Linked DNA regions of Tribolium castaneum. The protein of the gene in region 1 interacts with the protein of each later gene in a biochemical or structural test. Links are inferred from orthologs where the notes say so. Each region holds a gene or a part of one and is shown on either strand. Other genes may lie near its edges.

Region 1 (3,537 bases):
AACTTTTAGCTACTTTTAATTTTTTGAGTGGAAATGAAATGACCACTATAGTAGTATGTACATATAATCGTAAAATTGGGCTAACTGCAGACAGAAAGTATAAACTTTCTTTCTTTTTTTTAGTTCCTCTTTTATGATCGAGTTATACAGGATGTTCCGTTTAAACCCCACATTAAATATTGGGAGTTTTAATACTGATAATCATCTGAAAAGTTGTATACAGCGACAATACGTTAGGTGCTTATTAAAGAAAATATTTTCGAGATGGTGGCACTTCCGGTTATACCAGAAGTCGCTATCAACTCATATTTTAAATGGAAAGTTATGTATTTTTGGATTACTTAGTTTTAGGGTTTTTATCAGCTTTCCTTAGACCTAAATTTAGTAGTTTTCGAAATATTTAGGTTTTTTTTAAATTTTTGGATTTGCATCGTTGATTTCAATCAAAAAACGATAACCCTACTGTTTTTAAAAATTTTGAAATACTTTTTGGCTTATTTGAAAGAGAAGTTTTAGATCTTTTCTTTGGTGTTTTCAGATTTCTAAAAAAAATATTAAACCTCAAATTATTAAGATTAAGATTGCTGAACTTCAAACACCCATAACTCAAAATTTTCAAATGATATGCCACAATTTTTGTTTTGCCGACTTGTCCGATTCCTTTCAGCTTTTTCTTAGAATGGGAAGCAGGTTATACTTGGGCTTATCACTTACACTCAACTTATACAGTTTCAACATATCCCGAGAAAATCTTAGGTATTTCAAAGAATTTAATTCCAGAAAAATTGGAAATCAAGGTTATTTGACATTATTTGCTTCTTGCTGGACTTTCTCAATCTCTATCATCAGAAAACTTCATGACATCATGACAAGAAAATGTTTTTACCAAAAATAAATTAAAATTTAAACCTATTGTTTTTCAAAGTGAAAAACAGATTTTGTCGTATTCTAAACTTTTTGATCATTTATCCGTTTTTGAGCAAGGAACACATAAAAATTACTAACAAATAAACACTACTACAAGAAGAAAAAAAACACTGATGTTTAATACATTACTAAATTCAGTTTAAAAGATTAATAGGATAATTCTGTGTATGAATAATACGAATAATACAAGTATACAGAAACATCGTGTTTCACATCTTCCTGTCTTTAGTTGATCGAGGGTTATTTTGCCCTCTCTTCCTCTTACCCCGCACTTGACTGTTGGAGATTTTTGTTGGCAAATTTTGTCAAAGTAAAATAAATATTCACGTTTCGTTCAAAACTACTAAAAATTTTATTTGTTTCTTGGACGCACCCTGTTGGTATTCATCGCAGTGCATCTTTCCCGTACACGTTTTTTTAAAATATTATAAATATTTGTTTAAAATTTTAATAAAAAATTATTAAATAATTTTTTTTTCAAAAAAGTATTACGTTGTTTCAAATGCTAATAATTATTTAAAAGACTCAATTTCATTTTTTGATTTAAAATTGGATTACAAATATCGCTAAAAATAGAAAAATAAATATCATTACTACTTGTTTTTGTCGCACACTTGGTTTAACTCTGTCGTCCCCTTAAATAATAATTAGCTTTAAGGCAGTTAAATGATTTGAATGAGCTGCATTTGTAGATCTTGTGTTCGTTAGACAATCTCAACAGTAAGTATCATAAACATTCGCCTCCACGTGTTTGACGTATTCGCTGTCAGCCACCTCATCGGTATCTGCAAACAGCACTTGTTTTAATAATAAAAAATAGTAATTTATGTATTATTTAAGAAATCTGTTAAGAAGCAGACTTAAGGATGAACTTCAGGTTTAATTTGTGTTTACTTTGTATTTATTTCGTCAACGTGGAGTGTATTATGTGGACATTGAAACCCAACACACAAAAATGTTTAAAAGAAGAACTGCAAGGAAATGTACCAGTTATTGGGGAGTTTGAAGTCTCTGAAGCAATGGGTCAGAAAGTTGACTGTGTTGTAAGTTGAATTGTATCCCAATTTTAACAATTTTGAATTTCTGCTATTCTATTTTTAGGTTAGGGACTCGAAGGGACATATTTTATATCAAAGAGAGGACATTACCAAAGGCAAACTCACTTTCAACACGGAAAGTTACGACACATATGAGATTTGTTTCATTTCTCGCGTTTCTCAAAGTAAGTAAACAATTTTTGTGTTTAGAAAAGTTTGATGTGTTTTTTGCTAGATGTGAGAGGTATTGGACAAGATGTGTCTCTAGTAACAAAACACGGAGTTGAAACGAAAAATTATGAAGTGGTATGTCACGACAAGCGTTTTAAAATAATAATTTTAACTAATGAAACAAATTTTTTAGTTAGGTGAAGCTGCACAACTAAAACCTATAGAGAAGGAATTAAAACGATTAGAAGATTTGTCAAATGAAATTGTCCAAGACTTTGCTCTTATGAGGAAGAGGGAGGAAGAAATGAGAGATACTAATGGTGAGTAGTTCTTCAGTTTCTGACACAGTGGCCCGTGACTTTGAAATTAAATTGGCAACACTGACAGTGTAACATTTAACACTTTTTTGTCACGAGCCACTTTGATCAGAACTTTAACAGATTGTTACAACCGTTTTTTTTTGCAGAATCAACAAACAGTAGGGTATTGTACTTCTCAGTATTTTCAATGTGTTGTCTGTTGGGATTGGCCACTTGGCAAGTTCTCTACTTAAGGAGATACTTCAAAGCAAAAAAATTAATCGAATAGTTGCGCCAAACATCAATGCCACAGCTTATTTTGTTTTGTTGTACTATTTAAAGATAACTTTCTCAAGTTTGTACATTACTGGACTAATTTTTGTACCTAAATTATTCTCCTGAAATAGATACGATGTGTTTGGAAAGCGAGTTTTAATAACGAACATTTACCAAATTGACTCCCAATTTATAAAAAAAGCAAAAAAATACAGGGTGACTATGATAAATTGTGTGAAAAAAATGTATTGAGATCAATTGTGTAACCGTTCGGGGGTCTGGCCTTGTCAAAATATTTAGTTTTGAGGTGATCGTCTAGAGATTGTTTGGAGGACCGCTACGTTGTCGTGTAGATTTGGAGATTCGTTATTTCAAGCACTGTGTGTCTGGGAAAGGAAAACGCAAAGAGTTCGACCCAAAATGTTTATTCACTAAATTTACAGTCATTGGTGATAGTATGCAACACGTTATACAATTCAGAAGTGAGTATAGACAACAAGTTAAACACTATACCTAGGCAACCAGCTAATCGAGTGTTGAATCTCGGAGAACTGAGCGGGAAATTTGAATGCAAAGTTGATTACTCGGACCCAACCCGGTGATTCTAGAAAGACGGTTGCAAGAGGGACTCCCAGAGGTTCCGACCACCGCGTGCTCTCCATTCCCTAACCTTGGGTATACATCTCTCCCCAAGCCCCGGGGGAAAAGCTAGGCTCTCTTTTGAATTGGCATGTTTTGTAGTTGGGCCATTGCACTCACTGGGACTGCCGAGGTCTTTTTCCCTAGTGTGATGGCAAGTTCCAAAGGGAGACAGAAAGATAGTTACT
Region 2 (3,667 bases), about 6.3 Mb from region 1:
GGAACCCGAGGCCGATTACACCGTTATTATAACCGAGCACGGGGCTGTCCACCATGGCCACTCCCATCTCCATGGGCACGTCCATGCCGCCCCCCAGAACTTCTCGTCGGTTGCATGGATGGTGATTATGGGTGATGGTCTCCACAACTTCACTGATGGTATGGCGATAGGGGCTGCGTTTTCGGGGAGTGCCGCTGGGGGGTTTTCCACCGCCGTGGCTGTCTTCTGCCACGAGTTGCCCCATGAGGTGGGCGACTTCGCCATGCTGCTCAAGGCCGGCATGAGTATCAAACAGGCGCTGTTTTATAACATTATTTCAAGCATCTTGTGCGTGTTGGGGAATTTGCTGGGAGTTTATTTAGGTTAGTTTGGTGGTATATTGTTTTTTTTTTATTTCAATATTTGGAATTTTAGGGAATACGGAAGTTGCCAGTTCTTGGGTGTTCGCAGTGGCGGCTGGAACGTTTATTTATATTGCGCTGGTGGATATGATACCAGAGTTGAGCTCGGCACATGAAGATGAAGGGAATTTGATTCAGTGCATATTGCATTTGAGTGGGCTGTTATTAGGGTTTGGGATTATGACGCTGATTGCGTTGTTTGAACATGATCTTAAGAATATGTTTAGGGAATAATGACTTTATAATTCGTTTCTATTGGCTGTTTTTTATTTTATCTGGTTTTTGATACTGCGTGTTTACTGCAAAGACTTGTTTTTTTTACAATCATCCCCCTTCTTCCTTGTGCTGCTACTTAGGTATTAGTATTGATTAAGACTTACCTATATTATGTAAACCCACATGTAATGACCAGTATTGGTACGCAAAACAATAAAATTTATTTAAATATGAACAGGATTTTATTTCTTCCAACAAAATTATAAACGTAGAAAAGAAAACAGTTACTACATTATTAGTTAAACTTAAACTTTAGATAATTATTGATTACCTTACAAAACTAATTATACTTTTATTTTTTCAGTTTTTTCATGACCGCTTTACAAGTCGCCGCAGGTAGGCCTGGTAATTAAACAAATTAGTCTCAAATTGTAAACACGGAATGTTTTCCATACCTACGACCTTAGACAATTTCCTCGGGGGCATGTTTGGGTCCTTTTCGAGGACAGCTCTAATTTGTTGTACTTTTTCGGGGGTTAGAAAAATTTCCAAGTTGGGTAATTCCGGTTCTCTAATACTACCAGTTGCTCGAAGCCGATCAACCAATTGGGGCACGTATTCTCGTAACATGTCATCGCTAAAAGTGGCCCCAGGAAACTCATTTCTAAATTCCTGAATACACTTTTCTGCAACGGACTCATTATACAGCCATCCTTCATTTTCCTGCCACTGGGTGTTACGGCTGTATGACTCAAACAGGAAAATGTTTTGCTGCGTTGTGGGACATATTGTTTGGTCCATTTTGTCGTATTTTAAAATCAAAATGATCAAAATAACAATTTTCAAATTTTCACTTGACAAATGACAGACAAATACCAACATCACAAACCAAATTCCCATCTTCTGTCAATTGTCAAATTTTAGACACGTACAAAAATCAAAATAAGCCTGATTTTGCCAGTATTTTGCAATTTAATGAAATAAGCTACAATTTGTTACGTTAATTAATTGCCACAAGTCGAGAAAAATGGAAGGAACACTGTTGGTATGTGCGAGTTTTATTTGTGGGGGCCCACAGTACCCGTTTTTACAGGAGCCTACGTTGTACATGGTTAAAGGAATTGCAATCCTCGACAATGACGGCAACCGTATTTTGGCTAAATATTACGATAAAAACGTTTTTCCCACGGCTAAGGAACAGAGAGCCTTTGAGAAAAATCTCTTCAATAAGACACACAGAGCTAACGCTGAAATAATCATGTTAGATGGTCTAACTTGTGTTTATCGCAGCAATGTTGATTTATTTTTTTATGTTATGGGTAGTTCGCACGAAAATGAAGTAAGTTTTTCAGTACTTTATTTATTTTTTGTTAATTATAAATCGTTTCAGTTAATTCTAATGAGCGTTTTAAACTGTCTCTATGACTCTGTTAGTCAGATTTTGCGCAAAAACGTCGAAAAGAGGGCCGTTTTGGACTCACTTGATATAGTCATGTTGGCTATGGATGAAATTTGTGATGGGGGGTGAGTTACACATATTGGATTAATGAAGAAGTTTCCCTTCACTGGCTGTTCCTGGGAACGTACCCCAATGTGGCTCCATCTGTTTTATTGTTGCATTTTTGTTTTACTAATTCATTTTGCTCTGACAACAAATAACCGTAATCCAGAGGGTGATTCTATTAAGGCATACATTAGAAACTTCTTAACTTCCAGTATAGCTAGAGTTTATACAATACACATCGACCATTCCAAATTCAGCTAAAAGTTTAATCGTACCAGAAATTAAGCCTTAAACAAATGTATGTCTGTAAATTAATATTGCCTGTTGTGTTTTATGATGTAGTTTTTTTTCTAATTATTAATAAAAGATGTTTTGTTTCCACAAATTATTTCAAAAACTTAGCTTAATGTACTAATTAACAACTATGTAGTATATGCAAAAATGCACAAAATATAGGGTGTACCTGCTGTAGGTGAGGGGATACTTTCTTCATTATGTAATTTTTTTTAACCTTTACAATGTAAGTTATTTACATATTTTTGTATTTCAGTATTATTATTGACGCTGATTCAAATTCAGTTGTGTCGCGAGTGGCTCTCAGGAACGACGATATTCCCTTGGGAGAGCAAACTGTAGCTCAGGTAACTAATGCAGTCCATTCAATTTTTTGGTGAAGCTTTTGTCATGTTATGCTAAGTGTATGAGGAAAAATTAATTATAAATATGTAATATGTAATAACAAATACGTTTATTTATAGGTAATACAGTCGGCCAAAGAGCAACTCAAGTGGTCTTTGCTTAAGTAAAGTATTTGTGTAAACTTGTAATAAATTTGTATTAGTAACTAGCAATGTTTTTTACACTTTCCTTAATTATCATTTCGTGGACACTATCAAACACTTTTTTAACATTCTGAGTGTCTGTAGCGATAGTGTGGTGGATATAAATATCCCTAGGGGGCAGCTTCTCCTCAGTTACTGTTTTTGTAATTGGATTATAATTTTTCACTGTTACTTGTATTTTCGACATTTGTGTTATCTTCTCCTCGAGGAAGGCTTTCGCATTATCCACCGCAGAACCCAGAGTTTTATTAAAATTTTTGTACTCGGGGAAGTACTTTTCCAATTTTCTCCCGTGCTCTATTTTCCTCTGGAAGAGGTCCTGTTTGTTGAGAAAAACAATCATTCCAGCCTTTCGTAAAAACCGGCTTCCACACATGTCTCTGAAAACGGACAAAGCTTCCTCAAGCCGATTTTTCGATTCATCTTCTCGTAGTGTTTGATCGAAGTCACTCGCTGCGATTATGAATAAAATTGCGTCAATTCCGTCGAAAACTTGTATCCATTTGCGGCGTTCCCCTCGCTGGCCCCCTACATCGTACATGAGGAAATTGGCGCTTCCGCCCCCGTATGTTTTAGGGACTGGGACGCTGAACTCAATCTCCGAAATGGAAGTGGTGCGAATTCGGCAAAACAGAATGTCTTGAGTTGAGGGGATGTAGTCCGGCTTCCTAATTTCGTCAATACGGTCTAAGAAACTGTTATTT

Evidence for each region.
Region 2: the proteins of bai (region 1) and zetaCOP form a complex in vitro, tested with the Homo sapiens proteins (2 studies listed by BioGRID, with this or other methods). The link is inferred for Tribolium castaneum from reciprocal best matches to the Homo sapiens genes TMED10 and COPZ1.

Annotation. Positions count from the first base shown.
Region 1 is NC_087396.1:9,937,885-9,941,421, reverse strand, and holds bai (transmembrane emp24 domain-containing protein bai), read left to right. Parts: upstream 1-1,598; 5' UTR 1,599-1,708; intron 1,709-1,767; 5' UTR 1,768-1,793; coding exon 1,794-1,970; intron 1,971-2,028; coding exon 2,029-2,149; intron 2,150-2,199; coding exon 2,200-2,270; intron 2,271-2,328; coding exon 2,329-2,455; intron 2,456-2,601; coding exon 2,602-2,723; 3' UTR 2,724-2,859; downstream 2,860-3,537. UniProt on the Homo sapiens protein: Cargo receptor involved in protein vesicular trafficking and quality control in the endoplasmic reticulum (ER) and Golgi.
Region 2 is NC_087396.1:16,251,333-16,254,999, forward strand, and holds zetaCOP (coatomer subunit zeta-1), read left to right. Parts: upstream 1-1,498; 5' UTR 1,499-1,644; coding exon 1,645-1,662; intron 1,663-1,710; coding exon 1,711-1,956; intron 1,957-2,007; coding exon 2,008-2,141; intron 2,142-2,671; coding exon 2,672-2,762; intron 2,763-2,847; exon of another isoform or gene 2,848-2,879; coding exon 2,880-2,927; 3' UTR 2,928-2,958; downstream 2,959-3,667. Other genes in the region: zinc transporter foi, read left to right, coding at 1-362, 415-635; Galphaf (guanine nucleotide-binding protein G(f) subunit alpha), read right to left, coding at 2,959-3,658. UniProt on the Homo sapiens protein: The coatomer is a cytosolic protein complex that binds to dilysine motifs and reversibly associates with Golgi non-clathrin-coated vesicles, which further mediate biosynthetic protein transport from the ER, via the Golgi up to the trans Golgi network.